Linked DNA regions of Callithrix jacchus. The protein of the gene in region 2 interacts with the protein of the main gene of each other region in a pairwise test. Links are inferred from orthologs where the notes say so. Each region holds a gene or a part of one and is shown on either strand. Other genes may lie near its edges.

The links.
Region 1: the proteins of TRIM23 (region 2) and KLHL42 interact in binary tests that used the Homo sapiens proteins (3 or more experiments, as listed by UniProt). The two-hybrid records come from large-scale screens. The link is inferred for Callithrix jacchus from reciprocal best matches to the Homo sapiens genes TRIM23 and KLHL42.
Region 3: the proteins of TRIM23 (region 2) and SNAI1 interact in binary tests that used the Homo sapiens proteins (3 or more experiments, as listed by UniProt). The two-hybrid records come from large-scale screens. The link is inferred for Callithrix jacchus from reciprocal best matches to the Homo sapiens genes TRIM23 and SNAI1.
Region 4: the proteins of TRIM23 (region 2) and FAM133A interact in binary tests that used the Homo sapiens proteins (3 or more experiments, as listed by UniProt). The two-hybrid records come from large-scale screens. The link is inferred for Callithrix jacchus from reciprocal best matches to the Homo sapiens genes TRIM23 and FAM133A.

The regions. Positions count from the first base shown.
Region 1 is NC_133510.1:43,423,104-43,426,603, reverse strand, and holds part of KLHL42 (kelch-like protein 42), read left to right. Parts: intron 1-1,369; coding exon 1,370-1,821; 3' UTR 1,822-3,500. UniProt on the Homo sapiens protein: Substrate-specific adapter of a BCR (BTB-CUL3-RBX1) E3 ubiquitin-protein ligase complex required for mitotic progression and cytokinesis. The BCR(KLHL42) E3 ubiquitin ligase complex mediates the ubiquitination and subsequent degradation of KATNA1.
Region 2 is NC_133503.1:143,899,839-143,903,338, forward strand, and holds part of TRIM23 (E3 ubiquitin-protein ligase TRIM23), read left to right. Parts: intron 1-2,126; coding exon 2,127-2,256; intron 2,257-2,785; coding exon 2,786-2,896; intron 2,897-3,500.
Region 3 is NC_133506.1:45,529,566-45,532,878, forward strand, and holds the end of SNAI1 (zinc finger protein SNAI1), read left to right. Parts: intron 1-1,838; coding exon 1,839-2,023; 3' UTR 2,024-2,813; downstream 2,814-3,313. UniProt on the Homo sapiens protein: Involved in induction of the epithelial to mesenchymal transition (EMT), formation and maintenance of embryonic mesoderm, growth arrest, survival and cell migration.
Region 4 is NC_133524.1:90,195,753-90,199,252, reverse strand, and holds part of FAM133A (protein FAM133A), read right to left. Parts: intron 1,701-3,500; 5' UTR 1,602-1,700; coding exon 858-1,601; 3' UTR 1-857.

The sequences.
Region 1 (3,500 bases), on a different chromosome or scaffold from region 2:
CCAGCATCTGCAGCCATCAAAATGTTGTAGGCTTTAGTTGTCTGCCAGTGCCCAAGCTGAGCTGTCTCCTTCATGGTTAGGATTTATTGTTTAGAAAAAACAGCAACATTCTGTTTATAACTCAGAGCATTTGTGTTTTCTGCTGAAGCTAAAATACTCATTTATTCTTTCCTAGAGGAGAAAAGAAAAAGAGAACAATTAAAAACAAGAAAAGCAAAATTAGATATTCTAAATTTCTTAAGCATTTTTCACAAAGAGACTAGGCAATTTTTTTCCTTAAAGAAAATCACCTTTTTTTTTTTTTTTTTTTTGAGACACCAGGATCCCTGTCACCCTGGCTGGAATGCAGTGATGTGATCACAGCTCACTGCAGCCTCACCCGCCCAGGCTAAATAAAGCCATCCTCCCACCTCAGCCTTCTAAGTAGCAGCTGGGAACATAGGTGCATACCACCATGCCTGGCTAGTTTTTTATTTTTTTTGTAGGCGGGGGGGGGGCGGTCTCACCATGTTGCTCAGGCTGGTCTTGAACTCTTGAACTCCTGGGCTCAAGCAGTCCTCTTGCTTCAGCCCCCTAAAATGGTGAAGTCCTGAGACACCATGCCTGGCCAAAAATCATTATTAATTAAAAATGCCAGAGAAGCCTTTTATCTAGACTTTGATGTTTTCTACACTGCAACTATCTCTTGGGAAATGGGAAAAGGGAGAGGGAGGACCTTTGTTATTGTCTCTCTGGTGATATAATTGGGAAACTAAGGCTGGGCATGGTAAAGACCCAGTCTTTACAAATAAAAACAAATTGGAAAACCGAATTGCCAAGTGATTCTGTGGCTTGGTAGAAGGCTGCAGGTGAGACTGCTGCGTTCCTCCTGACTTGTAACGTTGTGTCCTTTTCACTAGACAGCCTCTGGAGAGCCTATGTTGCTACTTGTCATGTTTCTTAGGATCAGCTGTCAAGGACAGATGTAGTTGCTGATCAGCCTGGCTTCTGTATTAAGTAGTCGGTAATTTTGTAGCTATTGATGAGAGTTCTGAGGCACTTAGTTTTTTTGCCCTGACCTGGTGGTTCAAAGGTGTGGGGGCGGGTACCAGGGAGGAGGGGCTGTGTGAAAGTCAGAGCTGCTCTTTTCCCTGGTTTTATCCAGTCTGAGTCTCCCAAGGAGATATTTGGGAGGAGGAGGCGAGTGTGGCTGGATCTAAATATATCTCTTCCCAGCCATTTTGAAAACTGTTTTACCAACTTGTGCTTTTTCCGAAACAGTTTTTTCTCTTTGTTACCAAATTATGCAGGTAGAGGTAGACATTTCTGGGCAGCCTCGCCTAATGGTGTTAGTGGGGGCGGTGTCATCACTTATCTTTCTTTCTTTCAGACCGGAACATGAACATTTTGCAGTACTGCCCCTCTTCTGACATCTGGACCCTCTTTGAAACTTGTGACGTCCACATTCGCAAGCAGCAGATGGTGTCTGTGGAGGAGACCATCTATATCGTGGGGGGGTGTCTCCACGAGCTGGGGCCCAACCGCAGGAGCAGCCAGAGTGAGGACATGCTCACCGTGCAGTCCTACAACACCGTCACCCGGCAGTGGCTCTACCTCAAGGAGAACACGTCCAAATCGGGTCTTAACTTGACTTGTGCACTCCATAACGATGGCATCTACATCATGAGCAGAGACGTCACCCTGTCGACCAGCTTGGAACACCGAGTGTTCCTCAAGTACAACATCTTTTCAGATAGTTGGGAAGCATTTCGGCGTTTTCCAGCTTTTGGACATAACTTGCTGGTGTCTTCTCTTTATCTGCCCAATAAAGCAGAAACATGACTGAATTGAATTCGTAGATGAAAGAAACTGGTTCAAGATTTTTTTTAAAAACGTAGTGTCCCATTGCAAGGGAGACTGATTCCTAAAGGGTAAAGAAGGGTTAAAATAGGTCACATATATACAGTAGCAGCTGTAAATAAGCTTACTTGAACTAATTACTTGAAAACTTGTGGAAAAAAGAGACCAACTTTGTTATTTTTAAAATTATTGATTTTTAAATTATGGGAGCAAATCTATCTCCAGACATGATACTCTTGGGCCAATGACGGATCATCAAAATATAGATTCATTGTGACTGCATGGTAAAGGGCCAAAGTCAATAATTGGAACAAATGGTAAAGATGATTTTTAAAATCTGTTGTATTTAGGTCCCTTTACATATCATTAGCACCTTATGTGAGAGATTTTCTTTTTCTTGCCAGTATACTTGACAAGCATTCGTATTAACATATTCATTCCCTCTTCTCCGTCAAGCATACCCACACATACATCTAGTATGTTTAAAATAGGGTTCTGTGTTCAGATATTTTGTTTGCACTCTACTTCTTAGGAAACTTACAATGATGGAGCCCTACAATGAATCCTTGCTAGTGTTCAGTCCTCCTCAAAACTTGCATAAAAACATTCTCAGCCATTTTTCCAGCCTTCTTTGCAGGTACAAATGCTGGATTAATAGATTGATACAACCTCTTATTTTATTTATGTGGCAGATTACATATTTATGTGGCCACATAGGTTGCATTGCTAGGTGTTCTGTATTTTAAAGAGGATATATTATTTAGAAAAATGAATATATGAATATTTTAAAAAATTGAGTCTTAAATTTAAATGGGAAGGGAAGAAAACACCAAATAAGACATAAATTTGCCTTTGAGAGTTACTTTTATTGAATGTATTTGACTTAGTTCTTATTTCAAGACTTAAAAAAAGTTTACCATATTTAAGTCAGGCAACTAATTTAATCTTAGCTTTGTAATTAATGTTTTGCTTTTGTGGACTAAGGTAAGGACAGCATTTAAACATAGGTGCTGGAGTAAGGAAGAAGCCCTTACAGAAGTGGAATGGCTTCTGGTAGTATTTTTGAAGTTAGGTAAAGTGCTTTACTTGCCTTGGTTGTGAATTGAAATAGAATGCAGCTCAAGCAGTTGTTTTCACTGAGGGAGTTAACAATAAAAGTTTCTGCCAATCAGATCAGCATTCTTCAAAAATATATATACTCATACTTACAGAACTTTTATTTTGAGTGAAAAACGCTCTAAAATTATCTGATATTTTGTAATCCAATCAGTTCAACTGTGAGCTGGATTCCATCATTCTGCAATAACAGCAGGCAGAACCATTTCAGTTAGTGTGTGCCTCACTTTAAGAAAATCCTGTTGGGGGAAAATCACTGTCAGCAAATTCATGCATTCCGCAAACACTTATTGAGTGCCTGCAATATGCCGTCCACTATGCAGATGTAGGACGGGGCTAATTACTTAGAGTTTTTCAGTTTATTCTAGGAGTCACTACAGGGTTTCTTTACAACCATGGCCTCTAGTATACTTAAAATAAGGGTCCACTTATAAAAAGCCTCTTTGCACAACTTTTTGGGAATACTTCTATTAAGTTAAATGAGGTAAGCCATTATTTTGGACATAGAAACAGATCTTTGTATCTTGTCACCAAATAATCTTATC
Region 2 (3,500 bases):
TTGTTTTCTTAATTTCCTTTTTGGATTTTTAAGTATACAGAAATGCAACTGATTTTTGTTTTGATCTTATATCCTGAAATTTTGTTGACTGTATTCTTTTTTTTTCTTGATAGTTTCCTTTATTTTTCACTTTCAGAAACTGCCACCTTCACAACCACTACAACAACAAAAATTTATATTTGCCACAGCGAGAGCATAACTGATCACAGTTTCCCTGAATTCAAGTCACTTGAAGTCAGCTACTCAGTTTGGCTGACATTCTTTTGATGTTCAATATTGGTAATCTGAACATTATGTTAATCCTTCCTGATTTCTTCAATGAAATAGTTATCTCGCTGCAAACTACAATCAAATTAATATAGTTTGAAGTGTCAAAATATTTATTTCCATGACTGTATTCTTTCTAATAGGTGTTTTTGTGTGGATTTTTCAGGATTTTCTACATACGAGATCATGTCATCTGTGAAGAGATATACTTTTACATTTTCCTTTACAATTTAGATGTCTTTTATTATTTTCTTGCCTAATCGCTCTGTGGGCATCTTCTTGTTCTTTATCTTACAGAAAAAGCTTTCAGTTTTTTGAGTAACATGTTAGCTGTGGGCATTTTATATCTTGTGTATGTCACACTGAGGCAGTTTCCTTCTATTCCTAGTTTGTTGAATGTTTTTATTATGAAAGGGTATTGAATTTTGTCAAATGCTTTTTCTGCAACTATTGAGATGATTATGTGTTTTTTTAATCTCATTCTATGTATTACACTGATTGATGGTGAATAATTCTTGCCTTCCAGGTATAAAGCCCATTTGATCATGGTGTACCAAATGGTTTTTTGGTTGAGTTTACTAGCAAACTGAATTCAATGTGTTGTTGAATTCAGTTTGCTAGTATTTTGTAGTTTCCTCCTGGTTGCACCTCAGCCTCAACTATGTGGGGTATGGGGAAGGGCAGGGATGAGTGCACAGAATACCCTGAATTTTCTTACCCCTTTCACTGGAATGCCTTTTTGGTTTTATGGCCTGGTGCTGTAGCTTCTTAACTGTTCTCTAGAGTTCTCATAGAAGTAATTCTCTTCCATATATTGTTTCTGAGGTGTATAACTGGATTTAAGTATAGCTTTGGAGCTGTTGCGTAGATGGTAATTAAAGCTTGTGAAGAGAATGAAAATATGTAGAATGAGAAGGGGGCCTTATACAGACCCTCAAGAATACCAACATTTAAAAGGCAGATAAAGGAAAAATTAGGAGCATCCAAAAATGGGGTAAAACCAAACCTGGGAAATTTTGTATCATAAAAGCCAAGCAAAGAGTGCTCAAAGGAATAAGCAGAAATAACACATATATGTTGGCAACTGTTGTAAGGACTTTTCATTAAAAATTAATCCTTTCAAGAATCCTATGTAAATTTTGTATTATTTTAGTCCTCCTTTTATGAAAGAAGGGAAGCAGAGAAATCATGCAGCTAGTAATAAATAAAAATGTTCATTATAGTATTGTTTGTAATATCATAAAATCAGAAATTACATAAAATCTACCAGTTGGGGGTTTGATTAAATTGTGGTTTATGGAATGTAAAGAAGCCATTAAAAGAAAAAGGTTGGTCCATATGTATTGCAAGGATTATGTAATATACTGTTGAGTGAAACACATTAGTTGTAGAGTGTGGCTGATACTTTTTAAAGAAAGTTTCTTGTGTTTCTGTATGTTGGCCAGTATGTGCATGGGAAAGTATCTGGAGGGATATACATCAGATTCATAGTGAAAATTTTTGGGAATTGAGCGGCAATTTTCATTTTAATTAATTTAGCCCTATTGTAAGGTGTTTCAGTATAGCATAAAAACATGCTTAAATAAGATTTAAAGAGGTTTCATTTGAGTTAGAAAATCTGAGAAAATTAATTGTGTATATTCTGTTATACAAAGACAAACTGGTCAGTTTTACTGAGGAAAGATTTAGCCATGGGGAAGGAATTCATCTTAAGATAAAACTCAAGATTTTGAGGAATACAACTCAGATTGCAATGATTGAGGAATGAACAGGAAATGTAGAAATAATAAAGGTGCTAAATGCTATTACTTTATAACTGTATGTCAAATTAAAAATATTTTAAAATATTTAAATTATAGGATAATCGAGTTCACATTGGACCAAAAATGGAAATTCGGGTGGTTACATTAGGATTGGATGGTGCTGGAAAAACTACTATCTTGTTTAAGTTAAAACAGGATGAATTCATGCAGCCCATTCCAACAATTGGTAAGTATTAATACTGGTTTTTACCTTAAAGGGCATTTAATAGACAAACCCTAGCTTACAGCCGAGTTCTTGTGGTCTTATTTGTTACTAATCTGTCATGGTGCTGGGCTCTTTTCTGGCTCTAAGACATCAGCATCTGAGAGAAAAAATGCAAGATTGTGTGGCTATGGGAATGAAATGTGGTTGGGGATAAAAAGAAGAAACAGTATTGGTGGGACAGTTTGAAGGAATAGAAGATTGGTGATCCTGGCTGAGGGTGTGGGGATGGGGGCAGTAGTGCAACAGAGCTGGAAGATACATGGATCCCAAGGTCCTAAGGACCTTGGTGGAGGTTTAGAGGGCTAGCAGCTGTTACAGGTATTCACTCTCCATGTAGAAGTAGGAATGGGGTTGATTAGGCTTCAGTAGATATTGCTGCATATAGATAATTGATAAATCACAATTATACACTGGGGGATTGTCTGTGTTTGATGTGTCATTCATTGTAAATGTAAATATAGTATAAAAGTTAACTTTTTTTTTAAAACAGGTTTTAATGTGGAAACTGTAGAATATAAAAATCTAAAATTCACTATTTGGGATGTAGGTGGAAAACATAAATTAAGACCATTGTGGAAACATTATTACCTCAATACTCAAGGTGAGAGTTTAAAATGACATTTAATTTTTCACATTTTTAGGATGACAGTTTTCAGTGTACTGATTTGACTAGCAAAGCTGATATTTATGATTAAATCCTTGACTATACACTTAAGTGTTAGTGGCTAGTTCCTTATCTTGTAAAAAACAAAAGTAGAAAAATTAGCATATGTACTTTTAGTTTATTCCTGATAAACCATTATTACAGAAATAAACCAGATGTAGCTTAGAAACATAGGCAGTTAAGAGTATTCTCGCTTCTCTTAACAGAGAATGTATATTATCAGTATTATATGGGTGTGATTGCTGGCAATGTAGTGGTATAGAGTTGAGTTTATGGTGTATGATTCTGCTGTTCAATTCAGTTAAACTCAGCATTTATCCCATTATAATCTCACAATAGCCCCACTCCCACATTTCTCTCATAAATAGTTGTTACCTGCAAAAGAACTTACAGTGGCTTGCTTTTGACCAAATGGTATTATATCATATACTCTACATAGGTTTTAGTCACATTTGAGTTCTATTCTACACTTTTGCCTCAGAGACCCCAACCTAAAGCTTAGACTCATGCGTCCTATTCTGTATGTTATCCTGCTTTGTAC
Region 3 (3,313 bases), on a different chromosome or scaffold from region 2:
TCCTTTCTCTTTTGTTCGTGTGTGTGCCATCACACTTAAAGCACTTACTGTGCAGGAGGCAGTGCTCAGGCTCACCACAGCCCTGGGAAGGGGGTACCATCATAACCCGCCCAGTCTTACGAATGGACTCCAGCCCCTTTACCAGATCTCCAGAGTCAGCCCTTAGTTCACAAGTGAGAACTTAACTTTCTCTTTCACATGAAGACTCAGAATGCAATCAACAAACCCTGCAGGCCCAACGTGCGGAGTAATGGCAGAGTGGAGTAGTATGCTCTCCCAGCCATCCCCTCCCCCATCCCCTAGGTCCCCCACCCTGTGGAGTGGTACATTTCCAGAGACTGAGCCCAGCTCTCAGGCTCTCCGTAGGTCCCTGTTGAATGTATAGGTCCCATTGGAAGCATCCTCTGGACTCCCTCCTACCCTGCTAGCTCAGTGAAGCACCCTAGGTACCCAGGAGTTGATGGAATTAATTCACTCCCAGCTCTTAAATTTCATCCAGCACTGGGATTTAACAGCCAGCCCTGGCCTTAGGGCATATCGGACTGGGTGTGAAGGGATAGGAGAATTGCATATTTTTTAAAAAGACTGTTCAGTATTATAGAATAGTGTGTAGCACATAGTAGGAGCTCAATAATTTAAAAAAAATTTTATAGACAGGGTCTTTCTTTGTTGCCCAGGCTGGTCTCAAACTCCTGGCTTCAATCAATTCTCCTGCCTCACTCGGCCTCCCAGAGTGATGGGATTACAGGCATGAGCCACCACACCTGGCCTCCATAGGTTTCTGTTTAAAGAGTAACTATTATTACTTTTTGTTTGGAAAATGCTGTGTCCCCAAAAAAAGACAAAACAACCTGATTGGTGTTTTTGGAACTGTAGGCTTTTGGTTGGAGCAGAGATTGTGATGAGGCACGAGTAAGGGGCAGGCTCCTCTGAGGCCTTTTTATTTTTAAGAATACTTATTTCTTCTCTAAGGGCTTATTGAGGACTGAGTTCCCAACACAGCCTTAGCCAGGCAGTTGGTGTGTCATGGGCACTGGTTTCTGTAGCCTCTTGGGTGGTAGAAAGGGGCCCAGGCCCTGGGCTGGGCTTAAATGGACTCAGGGAAGCCCCTGCCCTTATGGGATTCGGCCTCATTGGAGAACAGACAAGGAGATTTGGGATTTCGGCACAGGAGGTGGGGTGGTGAGCAAAGCAGGATGCTGGCCGGGCCCGGGGGTGGCCTAACCACCTTGCAGTGGGGGTGGGGAGGCCTAGTAAGGCTGACTCTAGCTTTGGCCCCCAACAAAATAAATCAAGGAGTGACTCCAGGACCACAAGGCACACCAGCCACATCGTCCGTTGACTGAAGGCAGTAAGGACAGTGGGTGAAATCAGAGGCTTTGGGGTCCTGCCAGGGGACCCTGAACATGCTACTTCTGGGCCTCGGTTTCACCCTCTCTGAAATGAGGACCACTGTAGGATTGAGTGACAGTAGGACCAATCAGTAAAAGTGTGCAGTCATCATTGCACCCCTTCCCACGTTCCTGCAGGATGATGAGTGCTGTACCCCATCTCCTGCCACTTACCGACCCCTATGAGTGGGGAGCGAATAGCCCCATTTTACAGGTGGAAGATGCAGGCTCAGAGAAGCCAGACAGCTTGCCTGGGGTTGTACCGTGGGAAGCAGCAGAGCTCTGTCAGGTCCTGGCCTTTGGAGCCTGGATGCTCGTTTCACTGTGGCCTGGCTTTCCTGGGATCATGGGATTCTTTCAGGTTTTGGGGCACGTGGGGAGGGATTCCCATCGCTGCCAGCTGTTGTCCCACGGCTCACTCAGCCTTTCTGGCCATTCTCTCCCCAGGCGAGAAGCCCTTCTCCTGTCCCCACTGCAGCCGTGCCTTTGCCGACCGCTCCAACCTGCGGGCCCACCTCCAGACCCACTCGGACGTCAAGAAGTACCAGTGCCAGGCATGCGCTCGGACCTTCTCCCGAATGTCCCTGCTCCACAAGCACCAAGAGTCCGGCTGCTCAGGATGCCCTCGCTGACCCTCTAGGCTCCCTCTTCCTCTCCTTACCAGCCCCTCCCTGACAGCCTCCCCGCAGTTCCAGCGGGAAGGGCCCAGGTCCTTCTCACTGAATTCCCTCCTGAGCACCCCACTTCTGGCTGCCTCAGCCCCACAGGACTTTGATGAAGGCCATTTTCTGGTTCTGTTTCCTCTGCCTGGGTCCCTCAGTGGGCTCTGGAAGAGGCCTGCCCGTGGCAACTTCTGTGGAGGGAGGGCAGCTGGCAGCCCCAGGCCGGGGGCTGTCCTGAGCTGGCCTTTCTGCGTGGGTTTTTGTATCCAGAGCTGTTTGGATACAGCTGCTTTGAGCTACGGGATGAAAGCGGACTCCTACCCCACTCAGGGGACCCTACTCCCCTCACCCCCACCCCACAAGGAACCCTCAGACCACCCTCCATGAGGTGTGACTGACTATGCAATAATCCACCCCCAGGTGCAGCCCCGGGGCCTGCGGAGGTGGTGGCAGACTGCTATTTCAACCTCCTGTTTGGCGGGGTGGCACCTGTTCCCGGGCAATTTAACAATGTCTCAAAAGGGACTGTGAGTAATGGCTGTCACTTGTCGGGGGCCTGAGTGGGGTGCTCTGGTCTGACCCATGTGTCTCCCAGAACTATTTTGGGTGCCTGACAGGTGGGCCTGGGAGGAAGATGTTTACATTTTTAAAGGTACACTGGTATTTATATTTCAAGCATTTTGTATCAAGGAAACGTTTTGTATAGTTATATATGCAGTTTATTGATATTCAATAAAGCAGTTAATTTATATATTAAAAAGTTTCTTTGTAATAGAGGGGTGGGTGTTTTGAAAGGTCTTTGGTAAGGGAGAAGGGGACAGGAATTCCTGAAGCTTAGATATTCTGACACAGCCTTAAAACTTGTCCTTGGGAAACTCACAGGGCTTTGGAGTCCTGGGTGACACTGTCAGGGACCTTATGAGATGGGTTTTCCCCTTGGCCCGGGTGTCTTGCCTGCTGGCATGTGGGTGAGCCGCCAGCGTCCACATGAGCTCTTCACTATACACTGTGGCTCTTGTTTCCTTTCTTGAATTTTGAAGCTGATCTGACCCTCGGGGTGCAAAGCTGGCTTCCTGGGTCTTACCAGCTAGGCAGGCTGCAAAGCTCTGTCCCAGCACTGCAGGTCTTTTGGGGTGGGATTGCCCGTTTCCCCTAGATGTGAGTAGAATTTGACCAAGGAAACAGAGGATGTCCTTCCTGTTTCCAAGGGCTCCGGGCCCCTCGGGCCTCCGTGTCAGCCCCACACCTCTGTCTTGTTGC
Region 4 (3,500 bases), on a different chromosome or scaffold from region 2:
CCAGATAACTAAAACTTAATAGTATAAAACATGCAAAAACAATTTCAGAATATTTCCTAATCAAAAACCATCAGGGTCTGTTTAAAATGATTCCCATACAAAATGGGTATAAAAGTTACTTCAAATCATGTAATATTGTAATACTAAATATTATTCAATACTGTATAGTGAACAGTGCTGAAGAAGAGGTAAATTTCATAGATATGGGGTCTTACTTATGCTGTAAACTTCGGTCCTTCTTGTTCACTTGAAGCAGCATACAACATCCCAGAATTTCATTAAGTAAGAAACAGATGGCTGCTGCTCTGGCAAAAATAGGATGTGTAAGAGTCAAAGGCACACTATTCAGCTAGCCACAGTGATTAGCAAACACTTGCCCTTCCCACCCCACATGCTCTTCCCCATGTAAACAAAGATACATTAAAGAGAAAAGTAAAATGAACTAAACTTATCTACAAAAGCAAGGAATTGAGACATCAATGTTAAGTCCTTGCATCAAAAACACCAGCTACCATTATCTGGAAATTTCTGATTATATTTCAAAGATGTATTCAAATAAGATACACTTAAACCTTAGATACACTTATTTCTTGTCAAAGTTATTCGTTATCTAACACGTTTTACTTTAATTTCAAACATTTTATTCACTGGTATGACAAGAAAATTTTAGCTCCCAGAGGAATTAACCACTGGAAGGAAGGACAAGCAAACAAACAAAAGCGTATATTTAAGTTGCGGGCAGCCATTATGCCCCTTTCTGGCACAGTGGGATTTGACTGACAGCTCAAAGTCCAGAAATAATTCTACTGACACAGGGAAACTCGGTAAACTCATTGTTGCTTTTTTTTTTTTTTATGTTATCTTGACTTGTGACTTGGACCAGACTTCTTTTTCTTCTTCTTACTATGTTTCTTGTGCTGTTTCTTCTTCTTCTTCTTGACCTTTTCCTTTGCTTGTTCTCGCTCTTCACACCTTCTCTTCTTTTTGGCTTGCACATCCTCTTCATAATCTGATTCAGATGAGGACTCAGATGAGAAATCATCATCAGGATAACTTTTCTTTCTTTTTTTGCTGAGGCTTCTCACATCCTTTTCTTTCGCTGTTTCATCCTTTGACTTCTTTTTCTTTTTTACAGACTCCTTGCTCTCTGATTCTGATTCATATGTAGAGCTTTGTGATGATTTGTATGAACGGTTCTTCTTTTTCTTTCTCTTTTTTCCTTGTTTCTTTTCCTCATCCTCAGAATCTGAAGAACTGCTTGAAGAATCAGAGCTTGATGAAGGAGATGAAGACCGACAAGATTTCTTCTTTCTCTTTCTCTTTCTTTCTTTTTTTTTAGAGGAGCTCTCATTTCCACTTAATAATTTCTGTCTGCTTTTTTCAAGTTCTTTCTTCCAATTTTCATTCATTTTTTCTTCAAATTCAGCTAATGCTTTTGAGCCTCTTTTTTTATTTTCTAATTGTTTCTTTACTTCTTCCCAGGTGGGCCTTGGTCGATTCAGATAATCTTGGATTGTTGGGCCCACAGATTGAGTTGGGCCTCTCCATCTGGCCATTGCTATAGGATTCATATAAGCTACCCGATTATCCCGCTTCCCCATGGTGCCTGATGTTTCCCAGGGCAGACTCTCAGTTGCCAAGGAGAACAAAGATACTCTCCTTAAATTCTTTATCTACTGAAATACCAAGCAAGGTCCATTCTGTAAGAGAAGCAGATGGAATGATTACAAATCACCGTTAATATAAAGACAAAATAAACATATAAGCTTAATTATTCACTGCCTATCACATAGTAGAGTAGAAATTTCCAAAATCTTATATCATGGGTACAAACAATATGCACATTTAAAAATTTTACATATTAAAGACACTGTGGTATAAACCTAATATAAACATTACTAAATCCTGATATTTAAACCTCCCCAATAGGAATCATATCCATTCATTTGTCTCCAAATAGACTGTCATCAATGTAGTTCAGGCCACTATCATCTCTTACTTGGATTATTAATCTCTACTCCCTATTAAGTGTTTATTCTCTGTCAAGGACTGCTTAGTGTTTGCAATGCATTATCTCATTCAATCTGAAGGCCAAACCAATGAAGCTGATCCTGTCATTATCCCTATTTCACAGATGGATAAACTGAGGCTTAGATAATTCGAGTAAAACTCAAAATTTGAACATGAAGTAAGAGGGCTAATAAATGGCATAACCAGGATTTAAACAAAGGGAGCCTGATTCCAAACTCTGAAAATATAAGGCAATACCAAATTGTCTCCTTACATCAACCTCTTAATAGGTAGCCTTTTCCCACCCTTATTCCCTTTTATTGTAGTCCTCACTGTAAACAGAGGGATCTTAATGAACTCCAGTGGCTTTAGGTTTTAATGAAAATCAAATCCAATCTCCTATAAGGTCCGATATGATCTGCACTACTTACTTCTCTCTCTTATTTTGTCTTGTTTCACTCACTCCTTTTCTCAAGTTTTTTCCATTTGGTTACTGGAACATGGTGAATTATAGGCTTAGCCAGTATGGCCAATTCCATCTCATCCTTCAGGTTTCAGTTTAAATGTCAATTCCTCAGAAAGTAAACTATTAGGTTAAACTATGTAAAACTATTTTGTGGGACACAAACAGTTTAAATATCAACAACTTTGTATGGTTCGAACTTATATTAAAGTAGTTTGCCTCTCTGTCTACCCTTCAACCTGATTTTTCTGTATGATAGTTCACTGTTTCTTTTATTCACAGAATTTATGAAATTGGTAATTATTTCATTTGTCAATATTTCATCATACATGTGTATCCACTGCTAAATGTAAGACCACGAAGAGTAAAGGTCATGTGTGGCCTATCTCATTCACCATGGTGTTCCCATTACATGATGCAGAATCTGACCCATATCAATCACTCAGTAAATATTTTCTCAATAATAAACAAACAAATAAATGCATGGATGGATAGACGGGTAACTCTGGGAGAGAAGGGGATTCAGAGGGAGCATCCTGGAGGTGGTGATGTCTATAGGATTTTAAGTAATGAACATGCATTTACCCAGAATATGAGGATATTAAGGACAATTTTGGTAGAGGAAACATGAGAAAAGAGCACCAGGTATTTATTGTTGATGAAACCTAAAGATCAGGAGGGCAGGGGGAAGGAGGTAAGCTTGCAGAGATAAAAAGAAGTCTAAATATGGAAACCCTCTTTGGTCATTTGAAAATCTTGGATTTTTGTCCTATAGTTGATAGGGAGTGAATAAAGACTTTTATATAGAAGAGAAAAACAATCAGACATATAGATTTTTCTGTCGTCTCCATCTTAACCCTGATCCTTTAAGTCAACCTGTCATACCTACCCATCATAAGCTCAATGCTATAGACATTTCAGTGACTCTTGGTAACAGTTTCCAACATCTTATTTCCTGTGTTCTCAATCTTACTCTCCTTCCTCTTTAGTTATGTGTAAATCCTTGGTGTTTCTGTAATTTTCATTC